Macaca fascicularis: one gene and its partner. The protein of the gene in region 2 interacts with the protein of the main gene of each other region in a pairwise test. Links are inferred from orthologs where the notes say so. Each region holds a gene or a part of one and is shown on either strand. Other genes may lie near its edges. The genes, in order: EIF4A2 and PDCD4.

Region 1 (12,014 bases), on a different chromosome or scaffold from region 2:
TAAAGAGAATGGAGTACCCCACCTGTCTTTGGATACTCCCATGTCAAAACTCACCTCAGAACCACTACTACTTAAAAACGTAGGCCTTCCATATGACAAGACTGGTACCACTAATCATCTTAAATTTTCTGGATATTGTGGACTTTTTAAACCAATCTCATTAGTGGCATATTTACATGGATTTTTAGAGAAAAGGCACTTCCCCTTTAAAGAAATCAGTCTCTTTGGCTGATCTTGGCCACTAGTCTTCATCCACTGACCAGAACAAGCTATAACCCATGTGTGTCCAAACTTGGGCTTTAAAAGCACAACTGTTAGCACCTTGGTTACTTCAGTGGTGACTGGAGTTACTCTGGCTGTTCTCCCAAAGCCTTCCCAACTTTACAGGGTTATCACAACATTAGCTAAGTATGGAACTTAGCTGTGGAACAGAAAGGACTGGGGGGACTGTATGTGTTAGTCTCACCTAGAAACATCTTTAATACTGAACGTTCAATTACCTAGGTAATACCAGCTGAGAAAATTGATGGAGTATTTGCTGCCTGTCAGAGTGGCTCTTTTGACAAACTAGAAGCTGTGGTCAAGGTAAAGTCAGCTTACTAACTTTGGGGAAAGGAATATTAAATGATCATACCAAAAGTTTTTTTTTTAATAGGACTTAATAGATGAGGGTCATGCAGCAACTCAGTTCGTCAGTCAACTCCATGATGTGGTTGTAGAGAATAATTTATCTGATAAACAGAAGTCCATTATTACAGAAAAACTTGCCGTAAGTAGGTACTTTGCACATGTCAATTAAACATTTAACTACCTGAAGGATGCTAATTTCTTAAATTTTTCTTGTAGGAAGTTGACAAATGCCTAGCAGATGGTGCTGATGAACATTTGCAACTCATCAGCCTTTGTGCAACTGTGATGCAGCAATTATCTCAGAATTGTTAAAAAGTGAATATATTTTGATGTGGGGTTTTGTAAATAAGGGGGTTGTAATAAAAATGACCAAAAGCACCTTTAAAGTGAATATACAATTTATTTAACATTCAAACTTCATTAAGACATGTGCAATATGGCAATTTTACTGGGGATTAAACCCTACCTAGGATGATTGCTTGCTGGGGCTTAGCAACAGGGTCCAGTTCACACTTAGCACTAATTAAATACTTTATTGAATAAATACAATACCAAACAAAATGCATTCAAATGCTTTCTAAAAAAATTTTAAAGGCCTTTCTACTCAGGCTAATGACAAACACAATAAAGGCAGATATGCTAGTTTAACATAATTGGCTGATTTTATACAGCACTTATATCTTTTAGTCCACAAGTATATTATTAAATGATAGAGAACATCTAATACAACCATTTCTACAGAACTAGGAAATAAATTTCTAAGAAAGAAAGATTTTACAGACCCCATCTTTTATACCCACCCCAACAGTCTAACTCTAAAGAGGATAAAGCCAATGACTTTCCTCACAAGAGCTCACGACTAATGTCGCTTTGCTATCAAAATCTGTATTTCTGATCCGTTATGAGCATTGAGACAAGATTCAAATATTCCCAAAGAAAGAAGCACAATGCACGTTGTGATCGCCTATTCAGCAACAGCGAGCACTGCATCCAAAACTCTCATCCCAGGAATTAAATAAGGTCAGCCACATTCATGGGCATCTCCTCCACTGTAGTATTGTAGAAAGTCTCAATGTCACGAAGAATCCTCTTGTCTTCTTCAGTAACAAAGTTTATAGCCACACCTTTCCTCCCAAATCGACCCCCTCTGCCAATTCTGTGTAAGAAAAAAACAATCAGAATGTTACTTCTCACATAATTTATGAACTACTGAACATGACGATCCACTTGTTAACCATCAGCTGCTGTTTACTTATCAAGGTTATAGTTCGTGCTTCTAACTGGAGCACTAGCTGCTAATGCATATCTAGAGAAAAAAATCTTCCTTTGCAGTTAGTGCCAAAAGGATTCAAGGCTTGTCTGGCTGCAAAATGAGATTTTTATCAGGCATCTTGAGCATTATTATAAAGCAGATGACAGTATTGTGTTTGGGGTAGTGAAATTAAAGCCCATACCAAAGTGGGCCAGCCAAGAGCAGGTGTCAGCCTGGGACAGATGTAAACACCAGGAATAAAAGAGCAGTTATGTAATCCATTTCGACGCACTTCTGGAACTGTAAACTGTAAACAAATGCTGCAAAGGTTAACTATTTTCTAAAACTTACTTTTTTCCAGTGGGAAAACAAGTTATTTGGTATGGTAACCCAAACTTATCACTGCTTTTTTGCTCAGTTTCACACGTTGTAACTCAAATTACTCAAAACGTGTTTAACCGCCAAACAGCTACCTTCATGTTAGAAACCAGACAATACAAACCACCTAGTAAGAAAAGTTCCCTAACAGAAATACTAATACGAAAGATGCCTCAGCTGGAGCAACTTAAAATAAATAATCATGACAAAAGAAAAACAAATATAAATACCGACTCGCTCTTTATTCAAACAGTGTGCTGTTTCGCTTATGATTCCACGTCCTAAATTACGTCAACGCCGTTTCTGAGTGCCATCTCGTCATCAACTGCTGCTATCGACTCCTGTATTTTTTAAAAAGTCTTTTTTTACATCACATAACAAAGTACGATTCAATTTATTTAGGGATAAAGCCACTATAACTAAACCAGGGTTCACTCAAATTGCTACCAGGCGACACCAAGAAAATCCCAACTATGGAAAAAATCAAGAAAAAGCACATGGACACAAGAACATCACTAAAAGCTCAAGCATAAGCTAAGACCAACAATTGCGGGGGAAAAAAAAACCTATGCCCACAATCTGAGCAATGTTTACAAGTTTTCCCACTTTGTTCTCGTCAGCCTTCCCCTAGTACAAATTTAATTACATCATCTTACTGAACACTACTGACTTGACTGAATCTATTCCTTGATTTGATGTTACCTTTCATACAAATCACAGTAGAAAAATGTATGAATTTTTTTTCAATACATCCAAGATGCTGGCTTCTCACCTGTGAATATAGTTTTCACGATTGGTAGGTAGATCATAATTTATAACCAAAGACACTTGTTGCACATCAATCCCGCGAGCCTGAAACACAATGGCATATGTTAAAAATTCTAATTCAAAAAACATGGTACCTGTCATGTAGGCCACAAAATAGTAGCGAACTATACTAAGTGGTATAGCCCACTGTGGAGTGTGGTCCTTTTACTCTTCCAAATAGCCCAAGCTGGCAAAGGTTACTTAAAAACCTTCCCCCCAAAAAGCTAACTTTTGGTAGATTTTTAAAAAGCATTAAGAGACTTACCAACAAGTCAGTAGTGATCAGAACACGACTTGACCCTGACCGGAATTCCCTCATGATAACATCTCTCTCCTTCTGGTCCATGTCACCATGCTGCAAATTAATAAACCTTAATTCAAGAATCACCAGTCAGGTCAGTAATTTTAATCAACATGTATGAGACCAAGCGTCCCTGGCTGCTACAGGAATATAGCAGACAGGTATAGTTAAGAAACAACTTTATTTTGAGCAGGGGGAACGACAACACAGCACTTAGCAGCTATATTGTAGTCTGAATCCTGCTTTAGTGGAAATCCAGACATTTTAGAACACCTCTTACCAGAGCAGAAACTGTGAAGTCTCTGGCATGCATTTTCTCAGTCAGCCAGTCCACCTTGCGCCTTGTATTGAGAAAAATAACAGCTTGCGTAATGGTCAGTGTCTCGTACAAGTCACAAAGTGTATCCAACTTCCATTCCTATAATGTTTAGAAGAGAAAGTTAACAGTCATTTAGCTTTTCCAACTTTCTTCAGTTAAAAATACATTCTGGGCCAGGCACAGTGCTTATGCCCATAATCCCAGCACTTCGGGATCCCAACACTTGAGCCCAGGAGTTCCAACCAGTTTCCAGATAGTGAAACCCTGTCTCTACCCAAAATACCAAAATTGGCCCCTCTTAGCCAGTCTCAAAACGTAGGGGTCTAATGAGATATTGCACCAAATCTTAAGACAAAGGACATTGGACATTAAGAAAGAGGTCCATCCCAGTCTTTACAATCTAGTGCTGTTACTTTTCTTCTTGTGTGTACTCTGCTAGCATTATTGCAAAAACCAAGACATAGTCCTAGTGTCTGCAATTTTAGCACAGTGCTTATACAAGAAGGTAAAATAATGTCTAACAATCAGTTACCTCTCTCTCAACATTAATATAAAACTGTTTGATTCCTTCAAGGGTCAATTCTTCCTTTTTCACCAGAATTCGAATTGGATCTCTCATGAATTTTTTGGTCACTTCCAACACATCAGTTGGCATTGTGGCAGAAAGCAACACAACCTTGAAAAGAGAAAATTATGTTGTAGAACAACTTACACAGTAATACCCAAGAGAAAATGTTTGAAGCCAAGCGTCTCTGTCTCACTACAGAATGGAGTTAGACAGAGATAGTTATGCATCAAGTGCTTTAAGCAGGGGGAACGACAATAAAACACGTCAGTTGTATTGTAACAGTACCTGCATTAAACCCCATCTGTACCTTTAAGAGGGGAGTGAAGTAATGCTTACCTGAATACTTGTGTTTAGTTTTTGGAAAATCTCATAGATTTGATCCTTAAACCCACGGCTCAACATTTCATCTGCTTCATCCAAAACAAACATTTTGATCCATTTTGGAGCTGTTAGAAACAAAGTCATACTGTCACTTCTAGATCTACTCAGTAATATGATGACTTTTCAACTGTAACAGTAAAAAAAAAAAAAAAAACTCTTTTAAAGACAATACTTACAAAGATATCTTCTGTTTAACATATCAAAAACTCTCCCAGGTGTACCAACAACAATATGTGGTGCTTCGGCCTGCAGTTTTTGCATTTCATTTCGAACATTTGTTCCACCAATGCAGGCATGACAAGTTGCTCCCATATAGTCTCCAAGTGCCAGAATTACCTTTTGGATCTAAAAACCAAGCCTTAATTATTATCCTGAAGAACTCCAGGATCAATGACTACTTTTTAAAGCATAATGGCAAATTTAAACTGGTCTGCCAACAGCTTTTATGCATGCACAGCACGAAACTACTTCCAAGCTTAAAACGCAGACTGACCTAACTGCTTCAAGGTAAAACTCCCTTAATGTCTTTCTTCTGCCTTGTCAAACTTGGGATGCTGCTGCCCCACGCATCAGCTAGACAATTCAAGAATAACATTTCCTACATTATTCTTCACTGTGTGTAGGGAGTACATAGTGAAATATATGTTCTGTAATTACAGCTAGGGCAAATAATTTTTTTCCCCCAGAGGGTATTGTGCTTTATATAATCTTGACCTCAATAAAGCCTCCAGCTTTATTAGGAAGGTTTACTTCAAAGCCAATATAGCAGTGAGCTTTGAAAACATAGCATGCAACAGATGCATCACAAACTACGGAGACAGTCAAATGGTAACATGTCACTGCAGTTTTCATGTTGCACAACTGCATTCAAACTTAAAAAATGGGGACAGATCTAGTACATCCAAGAGAGTGTTTCGGATTCTCAATCTATTAGTATACAACCCTACAAACCATACCTGCATACCCAGTTCTTTTAAAGCTTTCAACAAAAACTCCCTGCATGCATGGACAATTAAAAGGAAGGATCTGGTAGGACCAATTTATACTAAGTTTTAAATTCTTCACAGTTGTGAAACCTGAAACCTATGCAACACGCAAGCAGTTTTTTTGAACTACACTATCAATACCTGTTGAGCCAGTTCTCTGGTGGGGGCCAATACTAGTGCTTGGGTCTCCTTGAACTCAATCTCCAACTGTTGCAGGATGGAAATAGCAAATGTGGCTGTCTTGCCAGTACCTGACTGAGCTTGAGCAATCACATCATACCCTAAAAAAAGTAGGATACATATTTACCGATCCCACATCAAATTGTCACTTCTACTTTACACCATGTATTCCATTTGGAACATGAATTATGCCCAAATAATAAGTGATCAGCAATGAGTATTCTCTTCATTTCAGGTCAGTCCCGAAAGATGATTGCCATCATTTCACTTTAAGGAATACAAACAGGTGCTAGTCCCCCAGAGGTTACTTTCCCTTTTACGGTCCATGACTATGTAGAATAAAGTCATTTCCTAAAAATTCCAGTTTCTTTTACCTTTAATACAGGGAATAATAGCTCTCTGCTGAATAGCGGAAGGCTTCTCAAAACCGTAAGCATAGATGCCACGAAGAAGAGACTCCTTTAAATTCATATCATCAAAGTTATCAACAATCTCATTCCAGTTGCTCTGTAAGTTAGAAAAAATAATGCACGCATGAATGAGATGAACACATTCACCTTTTCAAAGCTTCAACATCCACAACCGTTTCTTACCTCGATGACACCATCGGGGTCCATTCCCTCTGGGCCGCCATGTTCTCTGCTGACAAGAATACTGCAGTCAGACATCCCTTCCAAGCCACCTTAACTGCATCTTAAAGGGATAGCCCTTTGCAACCCGTCTCAGCACATTAGCCTCCCCTGCACAAGTTAAAGCAGCAGCTGCAGGACGAATATCACACTGCGCGCCTTCCCTAAAGGTTGGGGGCCGCGGACGTCCGGAAAGGCAGCCCCCCAGGCCCCAGCGCATGGGGATCCCGTTTCGGCGGCGGAGCGTCTCGCGAGAGCTCGGGGCGACGAGCTCCGCCCCCAACAATGCGCAAGCCGGGTGATTGACGCGGGCGGAGCGGCCTGGCGAGAGCGATGCCAACGGTTCGCCGGCACCCGTGCCGGTCCGGTCCCATCGCCTCCGCGCCGTGGCCGAGTGGAGACCGCTGCCTCCAACCCTTCCCCAACTGAAGCCAAGGACCCCCAACTCCTGTGGTTGACCAAAAATAAAGCTTCGGGTCCTGGTTACACTGTACCGAACGCGGACTGCGCCACGGCTGTTTACTGCATGTTTCCCGTGCTCTACACTGGGAGGGGAAGCAGCCAAAATTCCTAATGTCTTAGGGAGGAGAAACGCCCTTTAGCCGCTGCTTTCGCACCATCGTCCTGTCTCCCCACAATCCGGGCCCTACCCATCATGGAAGCTTCTGGAAGGGCACAGGGGTGCTGTACCCTAAGGAAACGTGCACTAAGTTGGAGTTTTTGCCTCCATGCCATCCACTATAATCTCTCCTGGCGCCCTACGACCTTCACTACAGACCGCGACCGCCAACAGCGCGCCATACCTGTTATAATCCGCGGAGCCACCAGACATGATCCGAAAAACCACTCAGCGCCCGACTGAAAAGACAGCAGAGCCCCGCCACCCGTTTTTTATAGGCTCGTGGCCGGAACCCGTTTCTTGCGGAGGAATTTTCTCGCCGTGCTTCGGTCAGCCACAAAATTGTGATCCTGGGGTCGTTACGTCGGATAAAATCCTAAGCAAGACGGTTGGAAAATCCAAATGTGGTAATTTCTCGATATTATAGGGTCGCTGGAAATCCTAGGGCCCGGGGTTGGGTTGGGATTCTTTACCTCGCGGCGGAAGAATATCGCTGCGGCGTTAGTCAAACACCACTTTCCCCGCCCGCCCTGCTCCTACGGGGTTTCCGCGTCCCTGACGCAGAGGCGGGCCGGGGGAGTGGAGCCGGAGCCGGAGCCGGAGGCGGAAGCCGGAGACGCTGCCCGCTGGGCGTCTGGGTCTTCCCGCGTGCGAGGGGTCCCGACTCGCGGCTCGCTGCCGGCGCTCAGGTGCGGGAGGGGAACTCGGTTATTCCACTTGCTCCCACCGCTGTTTAATTTGACAGTGAAGACCTGCCTGGCATTTAGCCCGACCATTAACATCCATTCAGATCTTGGAAACGTAAAATTCCTGCTAGGGAAAATGTCGGCCACCCAGCGAGTCCCGGAAAGTTTGGTTTACCGGTACATTTTGCAGCGAGAAAAAAAAATGGAGTGTCATTTGCAGATGTCTCTGGAGTAGCCAATTCTATTCTCATATCGTTTCCGGTCTCTCGCTTTCTTTTTAAAAGAGTGTTAATGATTTTAACCTAACAGGTGTGAGGAATGCCTGAAAAAAATCATAAACTTTTGCAAATGGATAGAAGCTAAGGAGCAGTAATTTTCCGTGGAACGCACGAATTTAAATGGACGCTTTGGCAGATACAGCTCTGTGCCGCTTTGGGACTACATCGGTGTTGATTCCGTCTACATTGGTCATTTTTTAAGGGCTTTGAGCTTTACCGATATATAGTGAAATGTTGATTTATTGAAATTCAGAGCAATAATATCCTTGCTGCGTAAACTGCACGAGTCTTTAAGCTCCAGATGTTTTCAATTAGCCCCATCTCAGGTCCCTTCACAGCAACAAAAAAACAATATATGTAGTCATTTAACTTTAAAATACAACCCTACCCATGGTGCAAAATATCGAGAATATCTGGAAACATTTTATCATATTTCAGAAGGCCAACTTAAAGAATCATTACTGGGAAAGCTGACTCAATTTTCTGTATTATTGAAGATATTTGGTTCTAAATACTATTTTAATACGAAAATTATTTATTCATTTGAAAATTCTTATCGTGCCAGGAATTGGGACAAAGATGAAGAATACCAAAATGGCAAAGTGGGCCTGGCCCTCAGTCTATTGGTACTGCTCCTCATTCATTCCTCTGTAATGTTCGAAAGCCATATTTGAGGTGATGCCAGACATTTTCTGAGAATGATGTTTGTCAGAGATCCTTGTTGTCTCATCCAAAATATACTAAAACTATCCTGAGATCTAAGAAATTGAAAAATATACTAAATCAAAAAAGTGACCAACCGTTTGGTTTCACTTGGGTGAAAACAGTTGGTCACAGGGTGATACCAATCAACAATTAACACTTAATTGTTGGTTGTTTTCTTTAGGATTAGCACTACACTAGATGCTGTGGAGGATTTTCAAGCCTCTTAAGAAGAAGTCTATCCTGGCTAACATGGTGAAACCCCGTCTCTACTAAAAATACAAAAAACTAGCCGGGCGTGGTGGCGGGCGCCTGTAGTCTCAGCTACTTGGGAGGCTGAGGCGGGAGAATGGCGTGAACCCGGGAGGCGGAGTTTGCAGTGAGCCGAGATCACGCCACTGCACTCCAGCCTGGGAGACTCAGCGAGACTCCGTCTCAAAAAAAAAAAAAAAGAAGAAGAAGTAAGGGCTAAACTCTGTGGTATAGGTTTGCAAGTGCTGAGTAAGTTTCAAGGTAAGAAAACTTCAAATACAGTCAAAATCCACACCCACACTGCCTGTAACCTTACAGTGTATTCCTAATAAGTGCAGTGCTTACCACATTTGCCTGTGCTTACTAAATAGTAAACATTAGTAACTAATAAATGTATTAAAGATCAAAACGTATACTTTAACAAAGTTTTGCGTATCAACACAGAGCGTGCTCTTTTAAATTTAAGTGATTCTGCTTACCTGGAATTTGAAATTAGATAGCCTTCTCAGTGGACTATAAATGCTTCTTTGTCAAACTTTAGTGTTTGAAACCATTTATACTGCAAATAATCCTAAAGCTCAGATTATTTCCATATCTAAGCCAACTAAGGTAGTTTCGTTTTGCTCTTCAAGAGCATCAGCTAACAATTCTAAAGCCAATTAGCAACCAGAGAAGCAAAGAATTAGTACAAATCTGTCAGTGCTACATGGAAAAACAATAACAAAACCTTAAAAGAATATGCATTCAACCAGGCACGGTGGTTCATGCCTGTAATCCCAGCACTTTGGGAGGCCGAGATGGGCAGATCACGAGGTCAGGAGATCGAGATCATCCTGGCCAACATGGTGAAACCCTGTCTCTACTGAAAGTACAAAAATTAGCCGGGTGTGGTGGCGGGCACCTGTAGTCCCAGCTACTCTGGAGGCTGAGGCAGGAGAATCGCTTGAACACGGGAGGTGGAGATTGCACTCCAGCCTGAACCCGGGAGGCGGAGGTTGCCGTGAGCAGAGATGGTGCCACTGCACTCCAGCCTGGGTGACAGAGCAAGACTCCACCGGGAGGAAGGAAGGAAGGAAGGGAGAGAGGGAGGAAAAAAAGAAAAGAAAGAAAAACAAAAGAAAAAAGAACTGCCTGGAGCTGGATAGAGATGTTGGTGCTACTCACCTCTTTTTTTTTTTTTTCATTTTCCTTTTTGGCAAACCCAGGATAATCTCTGTAACTTCTTTTTATTACACAGTTTTTGAGGAAATTAGAGGCTAGGTTCTGCTTGCCTGTGACCCCTGACGCAATTTGGAGGGTGGCATTTACTGCCGTGTTCTTACACTATAACTTAGAAAACATTTGTGGTTGGGTGTGATGGCTCACGCCTGTGATCCCAGCACTTTAGAAGGCCGAGGTGAGCCGAACAACCGAGATTAGGAGTTCGAGACCAGCCTGGCATACATGGAGAAATCCAGTCTCTACTAAAAATATAAAAATTACGCCAGGCGTGGTGGCTCACACCTAATCCCAACACTTTGGGAGGCCAAGGTGGGCAGGTCACTTGAGGTCAGGAGTTCGTGGCCAGCCTGGCCAACCCGGTGAAACTCCCTCTCTAGTAAAAATACAAAAATCAATCTGACGTGGTGGCGTACGCCTGTAATCCCAGCTACTTGGGAGGCTGAGGCAGGAGAATTGCTTGAACCCGGGAGGCGGAGGTTGCGGTGAGCCGAGATTGTGCCACTGCACTCTAGCCTGGGTGACAGAGCGAGACTCCGTCTCGGGGAAAAAAAATATATATATGTATATACAAAAATTAGCCAGTTGTGGCAGCGCACACCTGTAATCCCAAGTACTCAGGCAAGAGAATCACTTGAATTCGGGAGGTGGAGGTTGCAGTGAGCTGGGATCCCACCACTGCACTCCAACCTAGGCGACAGAGAAAGATTATGTCTCAAAATAATAATAATAATAATTTGCATGAAGATAGGTAAAGATATTAACAGAGTTGAAGAAAATAGAGAAAACTGAGGAGGACCACGGAAGGACTTTTAAACTAGCTAAGAACTCGGTTTGAATCCACTGATCCAAGGTTATTAAACTCTATTGTGTAGCCAAGATACAGAAGTTTTTCTACCTTTATAGAGGAAGACTGAAATAAAAGTACATTGCTGTACTTCAAATCAGGTGATCAGAAACTGTGGTATGCATAAAAATCAATGGGAACATCTATTTGAAATGCAGATACTTGTGGACTCTGCCCTCTCACCCAGATTCACTGGATCTGAACTGAGGTGGGGCCAGCTTTTTATTTTGAAAAATTAAGGTTGGGAGCAGTGGCTCATGCCTGTAATTCCAGCCCTCTGGGAGGCCGAGGTGGGCGGATCACTTGAGATTAGTAGTTTGAGACCAGCGAGGCCAACATGGTGAAACCCCATCTCTCCAAAAATACAAAAATTAGCTGGGCATGGTGGCACACACTTGTGGTCCCAGCTACTCGGGAGGCTGAGGCAGGAAAGCAGGATAATCACTTGAATCTGGGAGACAGAGGGTACAATGGCATGATGGTGGCACTCCAGCCTGGGCAACATCTTTATTTTACCTCAAAGATTCAATATTTTGGCCAGGCATGGTGACTCACACCTGTAATCCCAGCACTTTGGGAGGCCAAATGGCTTGAACTCAGGAGGTGGAGGTTGCAGTTTGAGGAGATCACGCCACTGCATTCCAGCCTGGGTGACAGAGCAAGACTCTGTCTCAAAGAAAAAAAAAAATCACTGTTTTTCATCAATTTGCATGTCTCTTCTAGATTACATGAAGTCTCCAGGATTAAGTTTGTCCTCAGGACAAACCTACACCTCTGTGAGGGATGGAAGAAAGACCTTGATTGGCAATCTCACCCCTAAAATGTAGGCCTGGTATCTGGAATCCCACTCCTATGCCCCATTACCTGGGGCTCTATACTGCCCTCTTCATGTGACACAACCAACTCACCTTTCATGCTTGTTTGTTTTCTTTTTGAGACAGTTTCGCTCTTGTTGCCCAGGCTGGAGTACAGTGGTGCAAT
Region 2 (11,286 bases):
AGTAGGTTAAAAAAAAAACAAAAAACCCACTGCAGTGTTACTTTCCAAGAAATGGTTGCAAAAGGTTCAAACCTCAAACATTACCATTAAGAAAAAATAAAACATATAGGCATAATAACACTAAACATACCTAAAGAAAAGTCACTGACAATTCATAATCTGTATTCAATCATATATTTAAGGCATAATCCTAAAAGTTGTTCAAAAATAATGGTATACTTACTCTTTTCATTTGGTCTACAGTAATGGTAGAAGACTTCCAAAGGGACTTTAATAAATCCAAAATCATCTTAAATGTACTTTCTCCAGTTGACTCTAAAACCATTATAACAGCCTAAAAATTGAATCAATGAGTGAATTTTTGGTTAATTTATATATGAAACCGCTCCTAAATGTATCAGATGCCTTTTGTAATAGTGAAAATTTAAAAACCACTTCCTCCTTTGATATTAAAAAAAGGATGTACATTATTTAAAAAGCATAAGTCACTATGCTACAAAAAGGAACACTTAATAATTCTCTTTGACATGGCAAGGTAATCTTACTTCATATACAAGCTCATGGTGAAAATGAGGTACTTCCAGTTCCTTAAGGCAATGTTCAGCTTCAGATATGTCTCCAGAGAGTAAATATTCTTTCAGCAGCATATCAATCTATTAGATTTAAAAGTTGAGATGTGTTAGAATTCCTAACTTTTAAAATATCGTGCTTGCCTACAGGATTATTTGCCCTCATTCCAATATAATGAAATAATGGGTAACAGCTAGTAACATATAGACTGGACATGGTACTATTATCACAGAATTTTTCATAATTAAAAAATAAATCCCCAATTTTTAAATGGTTCATAATTATGACTCAAATGCAATGCTTCAGTGTGTCTGAATCACTGAGATCTACGAGTAGGTTTATAATGGACGTGTCCTGGGTTGTGACCATAATGCTTTAGTGTGCCACTAAAAATAAGGGATTTTAAATACCACTAGAGGGCACTAACAAAGTTTCAACATAAAGTGGCATAAATATTTCACTTCTATCAAGATGCTCTTAATAGTGCACTGAGAGCCAAAAAATGAGAGATGATAATGGGGTATTACTAGACAGGGCAAAGATTTCCACACAGTTTCTCTTTTCTCTACAACTGAGAATTTGAAACTCATTATCTAAAATGTTCAATAATTCAGTTTCCAGCTGTAAAGAAACAAGTCTTGATTTTCCTGCTCAAACTTGAACATCTCAAAAAAGTGGGAGAACTTTTTCAGCACAAGAGCTTCAGCTAGGAATATTTTTGCCTATATGTTCTTTGTTAAAATCCTCTTTGTATTTGGTGGGCACATATCTAGTTGTCTGAATGTTGAATGCTGGCTGACTGAATTTAAAAAAATCGTATTTAAGTATCCTTCCAACTTTTATAATGTATTTTCATAAAAGGTAAAGTAAAATTTAATTGCTGTCATGCCTTAGGATGTAATATTTACATGTAAGTAAATATGTATTTAAATATTTACATGTAAGTAAATATTTAAAGCACAGCATTTGAATATATTTACTTTATAATTACAAACTAATACATAATCATGCATCGTTTAATAGGGATACATTCTGAAAAGTGTGTTACATGACTGTCATGGTGCAAACATCATACAGTATACTCACAGAAACCTAGATGGTATAGCCTACTACACACCAGTGCTATAAGATATAGCCTATTGCTCCTAGGCTACAAATCTGTACAGCAGGTCAGTATATTGAATGATATAGGCAATTGGAACACAATGGTATTTGTGTATCTAAACATAGAAAAGGTACAGTAAAAATACAGTATAAATGATTTTTTAAATGATACACCTGTATAGAGCACTCAATATGAATAGAGCTTTCAGGATGGAAGTTACTCTGGGTGATTCAATGAGTGAGTGGTTAGTGAATGTAAAGGCCTAAGACATTACCCATACACTGCTATGCACTTTATAAACACTGTATACTTAGGCTACACTAAATTTATGAAAAAACAAAGTAACTGTGCTACAACATTACAACTGTCTCCATATCACTGGAGGATAGGAATATTTCAGCTCCATTAGAACCTTGTGGGACCACCACCATCCCATGCAGTTCATCACTGACCAAAACATCATTATGTGGCACATGACTGTACTTGTTATTCAAATCATATTACTTATTTTTAACATTTGTTACATAACTTTAAAAGTATTAAAAATATACCCCATCAAATTCCATGCACTTCTGAGAATAAATTACAAATACATTTATACATTTCTAAAAGTCTTCTTTGATCCAACCCTTCCATGTAAGCAAATATCCAAATAATGTCAACCTCAAACTCATATACTGGTAGTTTTATTTCCTTTTTTATCTTGTCAATTTTCTTTCTTGAGAGAGAATTCATACACCATAAAACATCTTGTCCAGTTTCCAAAAATATTAATTTTGGAGAGTATTACCATCTTAACAATATTAAATATCCTAATCCATAACCATGGGATATCATTCTATTTATTTAGGTCTTCTTTAATTTCTTTCAACAAGTTTTACAGTTTTCAGTGTACAAGACTTGCATTTCTCTTGTTAAATTTATTCCTAAGTATTTTATTTTTGATGCTATCATAAATGCAATAATTTCATTTCAGATCATTCATTCCTACTGTATATAGAATTGAATTTTGTGTACTAATCTTGTATCTTGCAACCTTTCTGAACTCATTTTTTAGTTAATAGTTTGGTTTCAGTCTTGGGGAGTTAAAAAAATGTGGATTCATTCAAATTTTCTGAATACAGATCATGTTACCTGGGAATACAACTAGTTTTATCTCCTCCTTTCCAATCTGGATGCCTTTTATCTTTCCTGCCTAACTGCCCTGGCATCTTTACTATTTTTATACCTCAATTTTTCTAATTATTATTTAATTTTTAAAAACAGATACTAAATCACAACATTACAAACACTGACTCATCTCTTTTAACATATATAAAAGCAAAAATGGTCAAGGGCTCTAACTACATTTTGAACTCCTTAACACTTAAGCTAGATACACATACACACACACACCCCTCATTAAAAGATTTACTAAAAATCAAAATTACAGTTACATGAAAAGATTATACTCAAAAATCAGAAGCACATGAACTACAAATCTTCTAGTTGCATGCCTTTTCTTAAAGAGATCTGCAGATAAGGAGTTTTTTTTGTTTTTTGGTTTCTTGTTACAGAATACCACAATACAGCCAGAAAAAAAAAAATCCACAGGAAATAAATCTGGCATTTTAATGCAATAAATCGCTTTTTTTTTTTTTTTTCTGAGACACAATCTTGTTCTGTCACCCATGCTGGAGTACAGTGGCGTGATCTTGGCTCACTGCAACCTCCGCCTCCTGGGTTCAAGCAATACTGGTGCCTCGGCCTCCTGAGTAGCTGGGATTACAGGTGCGCACCACCATGCCTGACTAATTATTATGTACTTTTAGTAGAAATGGGGTTTCACCATGTTGACAAGGCTGGTCTCGAACTCCTGGCCTCAAGCAATCCACCTGCCTCAGCCTCTCAAAGTACTGGGATTACTATCAATTTTCTTTTAAAACACGCATATGGGTAGTGAACGTCCTCACAAAAATCTAACACTCTGATCTACTCTAGTGCTCATAATTCCTAACTCATTATTTAAGACTATCTAGTTTTAATTTACTTATATAAAAGCATATTTATTGAATAGCTAAAAGACAGAAAATCTCATTTCAACAGCATTTGAAAATTATTAAATAATAATATGAGAGAAAGATTTCAGGCATTCCTTTGAAGTTCATAGATGGCTTGCTTATAATTATTCATGAAAGCCCTTTTAACAGACTCATTTTTTATCATATAATTTATAATAAAAGCTCATAAAGTCAAATATAAAAGAATTATTTCATTTTCCAATTACAGCTGTAAGACCGAACTTAATTTTTGTCCATAAAAATAACAGCTAGTAGCCACAATTTATTTCACTCAGAGGAATACATGTAAATTAAGTTAAAGACAATACCCAATCATTACCTCTTTAACAAGGTGATTGACAGATTGCTGCCCACCTCCAGAGCCCCACACACTATCTTTACGCTTTCCACCTTTAGACATGCTCAGAAGCACAGTAGCCTTATCCAGAGCAGCTCTACAGAGAAAGAAAAAAAATTTAAGTTTGGTAGCTGGACATACCTAAAGTTTACCAAATTATGGATAAAGCTTACAAAATCCTATATGCCCTAAATCTTTCACAAAACATAAAAGCAAAATAAAATTCAAAACACTTTTTCAAAACAAAAAGGAGCAAAAAAAGTTGATCCTCATGTTAATATTCTCATGCTTTATTTCATTTCTCCTTCAAGAAAAATCAAAACACATTACAAAATAACTGATCTACACTGAGAAGAAGCACTTCATATATAATTAACTTTCACCTAGATCCATGTCTTCCTACCCAGGAAGACCATTTCACTATGATGTGAAGTAGCCCTAGAAAATTAATATACAGACCTAAGGAAAACTAAGACATGGCTGAGTCCAAGTCTCCAAGAAGTCAAGAAAAATCATATAGCATAACTCCCAAATATCACATTTAGTTATTCCAAATATCATATTAATTATACTAAATCACAAGAGTGAAAAAGACATTTTCTGACTAAAATTCCTACAGTAGATAAATACAAAATAAAACTATAAATGAGGCCTCTCTTGTTAATGTTATCCATCTTATTAGAATATTAAACTACTACAGAATGCTAGAACCTGAAAACAGAACTTAAAAGATCTGTCCAATGGCTTTGTTTCATAAAGAAACTGAGGCCCAAAGAAGAGTGGCTTGACATGAAGGTAATTAATGATTTAGCTAAACTCCAGAACTTTTGCATTATAGTACTGTCCTCTTCCTGGTATGTCACGTCAACATTCTCTCCATTTTAACAGTGGAGAATATAGAGAAGTGACAAACAGATGTACAGAGTGTTTGATTAATGCCAAGTGTCATTTCAATATGATCCTGTAGAATTTTCCCCTATTTTGAAATTCTAAGCAGGAAAAGTGATTTACTTACCTAGCCTGCACACAATCTACAGTTCCTTTGTAACTATCAATATAGGTATTACATAAAATTCCATCTCCAACAGCTCTAGCAATAAACTGGCCCACCAACTGTAATAAGGAAAAAAAAAAAGAGCTATATAAAAAAATCTTAAATAACTTTTATAGGACACAATTTCTAAATACATAAATGATGATGATTGGCTGAAGTACACAGTCAGTACCTGAAAGATGCTGGAAGTTTTTTTAAAAAAAAAGCCTATGTAGTACCTGTTATGCCTGGCATACACTCCCACATCTTAACCTTCAAGTTAAGTGCCAGAGTGGGGGCCACCTCTGTTGTGCTCACTAATGAATTCCTACCACCTTGCACACTGCCTGAATACATAGTACATGATTTTTTTTTTTTTTTTTTTGAGACAGAGTCTCGCTCTGTCACCCAGGCTGGAGTGCAGTGGCGTGATCTCAGCTCACTGCAACCTCCACCTCCCGGGTTCAAGTAATTCTTCGGCCTCAGCCTCCCAAGTGGCTGGGACTACAGGCGCACGCCACCATGCCTGGCTAATTTTCACATTTCTAGTAGAGACGGGGTGTCACCATCTTGGCCAGGCTGGTCTCAAACTCCTGACCTCGTGATTTGCCTGCCTCAGCCTCGCAAAGTGCTGGGGTTAAATGAATGATTTAAGGTCAAGTGAAGTCTTCTTAAAAAAAAAAAAAGAGGAGGCCGGGCGCGGTGGCTCAAGCCTGTAATCCCAGCACTTGGGGAGGCCGAGACGGGCGGATCACGAGGCCAGGAGATCGAGACCATCCTGGCTAACACGGTGAAACCCCGTCTCTACTAAAAAATACAAAAAACTAGCCGGGCAAGGTGGTGGGCGCCTGTAGTCCCAGCTACTCGGGAGGCTGAGGCAGGAGAATGGCCTAAACCCAGGAGGCAGAGCTTGCAGTGAGCTGAGATCCGGCCACTGCACCCCAGCCTGGGCGACAGAGCAAGACTCTGTCTCAAAAAAAAAAAAAAAAAAAAAAAAAAGACTAGGTTCTCTCAAAAACTAATCAAAGGAATTTATCTTGTGGAGAAAGAAAAGTTGTATAGAAATAGCTGGAAGTATGTTCACAGCATTACTTATTATAAAAAATGGAAATTAGTGTCCAAAAATAAAGCTATGGTTCAATGGTATATATGTAAAATGGTATATTATGTGGCCACAGGGAAAGATATTTACCATATTTCATGGTATGAGAAAAATCAAGTTTACAAAATAGCATACATGGTATGATTCCATTTTTTTAATTTAAAAAAATTAAGGATTTATAGAAGTCATACACTGATATATACCCACAGAAAGGAGAATGGAAAACTTAACACCAGTAGCAGTTTTTGCTGGCCTTTCTTCTTTCCGGCTTTTATTTTTCAAAAATTCTACAATAAATATAAACTTATATAATCATTTTGTTACAGTACGTGTATTGGTATAAAAGGAAAAAATGTCTGCATTAGAATCACCACTCAATATCTCATACAGACTACTGTCTGTCATAAGTATAACAGAAACAGCATTTAGGAACTGACATGCCTATATTCTATTTCTAAATTAATGTTTTAGGTAAAATGATTTTACCTTGATTAAAAACTTTTGACAATAACAATTTCACATGTTTTTAAAGCTACAAAAGGGAAGAGTCTTATTCCTGACTTTTTATAATAAACATTAGTGAAGCAATCGTAACCTACATTTTTTAAAAATCTTAGTTAATAAAACAATTACATATAATAAAGACTATATATATGGCAAAACAAAAAAAAAAGAACTAAAAACTACACAGATCATGGGGGAAAAGTACAACGTAACATTAAATTTATAGCATGATGAAGACCATGTTTAAAAAACAAAAGAACTAGGAAAAAATACACCGAAATGTTAGAGGGGTAGTTCGGTGTGGTAGGAAATGTGGGCCATCCCCTTCCATCTACTAAAATTTCCTAGGAGTATACATTACTTCCACAATTAGGAGTATAGTCGTGGGAGGGAATGAACAAAAAGAAGAATCATACAAACCTGTGGTGCTCTAGGAGTATCCAATGCTAATTCAGGTAGATCTTTCAACAATTTATCAAATGATTTTTCCACATCACTTGTGCTCATTACTGTCCCACAAAGGTCAGAAAGAAGCTTAGATGTCATCTCTCTATGACTAGCCTTCCCCTCCAATGCTAAGGACACTGCCAACACCGGTACTCCACTTTTCATTTCACCAAGATTTAAATCTCTTAACATTTCCTGTTCAAAAAAATAATTTAAAAACATTTTTAACGTGTATCACTACCTACAGTTCAATAAAATTTTATATTTGAAAAATCAAGCTTTTATCTATATGTCTTTACCTCTCACTCTTTGGAAATAATCAAAAGACACAGTCATGTTTTAGGAGATAGGATAAATACACCTTTTTTCCCTGTGCATAAATTAGACATTGATCCACTTTGTCAAGCTTTAACTGCCTTAACATCGCTAAATTCAAAAATGTGAAATACATTTAAAATACTGTCATGGGTCACTTAACGACATGGATACATTCTGAGAAATTCACCATTTAGGTGATTTCATCAGTGTGCAATCATTATAGAGTGTACTTACACAAACCTAAATGGCATAGCCTACATGTAGGCTATATGGTATAACCTATTGCTCCTGGGCTACAAACCTGTATAGTATGTTACTATACTGAATACTGTAGACAACTATAACACAATGGTTACCTATCTAAACACAGAAAAGATATAGTAAAGAGTATTATTTGAGACCACAGGTATATATGCAGTCTGTCATGGAAACATCATTATGCAGCTCATGGCTAGTTCATTAAACCACATAATATTGCTAAGATTGGTATTAGGAGTAACTAACCTGCCTTACAATCTATTATTTCTATAAATACTGTTTTATGAGAATTTGTGGAGAAATTCATTTTACATTATCATAAGCTATTTATATACTACTTTTCTTCAAAGCCTTCTCTTGAAATAAAAATTCACTTTACACTTCTGTATCAAGTTTAAAATTAGATCTTAAACAACTGTTTTTAAATAGGATTATTGGTTTAAAATTCTGGGGTAAATTTAAAATTTCCTACTAGAAATATAATAGCTGCAGCTAATACTTATTGACTAATGTATCCGGCATTATAATAGCCTCTTTATTTATATTATCTTATTTAATACTCAAATAGCCCTTTGAGTATTAAATTATTATACCTATCATACTCAAAGCAGAGAGGGCACACAGCTGGAGTAGCCAAACTGAAAGCGGAATAAAGGTAGACTGACTCTAGAAGCTAAGTTCTAATTCAGTTAGAGTGCCCTCCTCTTTAATGAAAGTTTTCTTAGAATCTTTAAATCATGATACACTACTAAGAGAGTGCCAGAACTATTTTACAGCCACCTAACTGGTGTCCTTGTTAGTAATCTCTTCTCACTCACTACAGTTCATCTTCATTGACTGCACTTTAACAACTAATCCATTACCCTCAAACACGATACTCCTCTTTCCTGGAAAACTATCTTAACTGGCGAACTCCTCACCATCCTTCAGAACAGCAGAGAATCATCTCTACTATTACTCTCTATTTTATGCTTTCCAAACCTACTCAGTTAATAGATATGTAGTATACAGATGGTCTTATGCGAGGTAGATAACAAGATTTCAACAGTCCCTGCCCTCACAGACTCATGGAAACTTTTCCTCTATAACAGAATGTTTCACATACTTTAATAATCTGTTTACATATCATTTCTTTCACTTGACTGGGCTTCAAAAGGGCAAGAATCACCTATTACAAATTCCTCCAGATGGTATGCACAGAACAAATATTTGTCTTATATTCAAATCCTACAAATCCAAAGATAACAAACCTCACAGTACCAGACAAATCATAAAAGTCTAGTCTAAATTTTAAGAATCTAAATGATCAAAGTCTTCTAAGGGTTACAATTATATTACTTTAATTCAATAATCCTAACTGACCAATAGTTTTATTTTATCCTAAATTTACTTTATGAACAATTCATAATTATTCTCATGGTTTCTAATTCTTTTTCAAATCTTTATTATTTGTGGGGTTTTTTTTTTTGGACAAAGTACAAAGAAATTTTATCCTACTTCTGAATATACTTGAAATAAATGTCAAAAAAATGAAACTATGTCAGGCATTCTTGTCTGAGGTCCCTGAAGAGGTTTCAGGGGGGTCTATAAGTGCCCTCAAACTGCTAAAATTATATCTTATAAATTATAAAAACAGATTTTATAAATTCATATACATTACAAATTATCATTATAAAAATTATTAAAATATTGTCATTTTTCAGAGAAGAAAATGGCATATAGCTCTCATCACATCCCAAATATATAACTATTTTAATGTAATGAGATTTTATTCCATTTCTTAGAAATTCACTCATGCAAAAGAAAATGATTAAATTTATTCAGTGACCCAAGATCATTCCAGATGTATTTTGCTTATAAAAGATGTCTTCTCTCCTATATTAAATAAATTACACTTGCAACTTTAAACCTACCGCAACTTCATTAGTATCTCCATGCTCAAAATATTCCTGTATGATTGGTGTTAAAGTCTTCTCAAATGCCCTTTCATCCAAAGGCAAAACTACAGTTTCATAAACACAGTTCTCCTGTGAGGGGAAAAGGGAGTAAGAGTTATAAAAAACAAAATGCAAATAAACAAATGAAATTGTTGTATAATTTTATATTCTAAGTAGTTAATAATCCCCACTTAGCACAAGACAAAGATATGCTACATACATTCATCACATAAAAACAGAATCTAGGCCAGGCAAGGAGACTCACACCTACAATCCCAACACTTTGGGAAGCAAAAGCAGGAGGTTCACTTGAGGCCAGGAGTTCAATACTAGCCTGGGCAACATAGCAAAACCCTATCTCTACAAAAAAATTTTAAAAATTAGCCAGGCATGGTAGCCTGCACCTGTAGTCCTAGCTACTCAGGAAGCTGAGGCAGAAGGCTCTCTTAAGCCCAAGAGTTTGAGGCTGCAGTGAGCTATAATTAATTCATCACTGTACTCCAGCATGGACAACAAAGCTAGAAAATAGTAATAAAATAATAATAAAAATAGTAGAATGTGTATGTCACTGCTCTTTTACAAAATCAGAATAAGCCAATATATAGATTAGAGCCATTAACCATAGCAAATACATAATTTGCTCCCAACCCCCATGTCTTAATTTTTTCTCTCAAAATGTTTATGTCTCTCTCAAAACCAATCTTTCGGTAACCAAAAAGCTTCATGATGGCTTCCTATCATATATGGTATTTTAATTAAAACTTCACTTTTAGAAAAAATGAAGCAGAAACCAAAGCCTTCACGATTAGCATTATTATAATAAAAAGTATAACACAAAGATCAAGGTTGTAGTGACAGAAAAAAATCTCTAAGGAAAAAAGCACTGTTCAATTGAAATTTCAAAAAGAAGATTAACATACATCATCGAACCACTCCTCTCTCCCCATGCAAAACAAGCTCTGAAATGTAGTGCCCCCCCTTATCTACAGGGTGTATGTTCCAAGCCCTGTCAGAGGATGCCTGAAACCACAGATAGTACCAAACCCAATAAATACTGTTTTTTCAATCTGATAACCTAGACAGCTACCATGTGACGAATGCATGAGTAGTGTATACATTGCAGATACACACTGGACAACGGAATGGCTCACATCCTAGGCAGGATGAGGTGGATGAAGCTGGACAGCGGGAGATCTCATCACACTACTCAGAATGGCATGCAATTTAAAACTTATGAATTACTTCTGAAAGTTTCCAATCAGTATTTTCAAACCACACCGAACCATGGATAACTGAAACTGTGGAAAGTGAAACCACGGATAAGAAGAGACTGCTATATTTGCAACCTGTGACTGGCTTCAGCCTAAAAACATATACTTGAAAGATTAAGACATTTTTAGCAAAGATTCTACAGTACTTGAATCCTACTAGTTTCATATTTGTCATATTCTCTTAGAAATATTTCCATGTCCAACTATTACTTAAAACAGTTAAATACATACATACAACACACAATAAAAACAATGTAACATATACTCTTTAACATTTTCCTGTCTAAAATTTCCATCACCGTGTCTTACCTTATGCAAAGACACGATTTTCAAAAAACATAATC

What was found.
Region 1: the proteins of PDCD4 (region 2) and EIF4A2 interact in binary tests that used the Homo sapiens proteins (3 or more experiments, as listed by UniProt). The two-hybrid records come from large-scale screens. The link is inferred for Macaca fascicularis from reciprocal best matches to the Homo sapiens genes PDCD4 and EIF4A2.

The regions. Positions count from the first base shown.
Region 1 is NC_088376.1:11,706,054-11,718,067, forward strand, and holds EIF4A2 (eukaryotic initiation factor 4A-II), read right to left. Parts: upstream 7,298-12,014; 5' UTR 7,264-7,297; coding exon 7,235-7,263; intron 6,445-7,234; coding exon 6,396-6,444; intron 6,310-6,395; coding exon 6,177-6,309; intron 6,073-6,176; exon of another isoform or gene 6,004-6,072; intron 5,904-6,003; coding exon 5,764-5,903; intron 4,982-5,763; coding exon 4,813-4,981; intron 4,702-4,812; coding exon 4,592-4,701; intron 4,547-4,591; exon of another isoform or gene 4,420-4,546; intron 4,364-4,419; coding exon 4,220-4,363; intron 4,195-4,219; exon of another isoform or gene 4,017-4,194; intron 3,787-4,016; coding exon 3,649-3,786; intron 3,614-3,648; exon of another isoform or gene 3,482-3,613; intron 3,423-3,481; coding exon 3,333-3,422; intron 3,306-3,332; exon of another isoform or gene 3,167-3,305; intron 3,113-3,166; coding exon 3,033-3,112; intron 2,602-3,032; exon of another isoform or gene 2,491-2,601; intron 1,787-2,490; coding exon 1,642-1,786; 3' UTR 1,011-1,641; downstream 1-1,010. Other genes in the region: RFC4 (replication factor C subunit 4), read left to right, coding at 505-585, 656-769, 847-942. UniProt on the Homo sapiens protein: ATP-dependent RNA helicase which is a subunit of the eIF4F complex involved in cap recognition and is required for mRNA binding to ribosome.
Region 2 is NC_088383.1:119,971,632-119,982,917, reverse strand, and holds part of PDCD4 (programmed cell death protein 4), read right to left. Parts: intron 9,762-11,286; coding exon 9,648-9,761; intron 7,354-9,647; coding exon 7,132-7,353; intron 5,186-7,131; coding exon 5,088-5,185; intron 4,170-5,087; coding exon 4,055-4,169; intron 654-4,054; coding exon 546-653; intron 335-545; coding exon 224-334; intron 1-223. UniProt on the Homo sapiens protein: Inhibits translation initiation and cap-dependent translation. May excert its function by hindering the interaction between EIF4A1 and EIF4G. Inhibits the helicase activity of EIF4A. Modulates the activation of JUN kinase.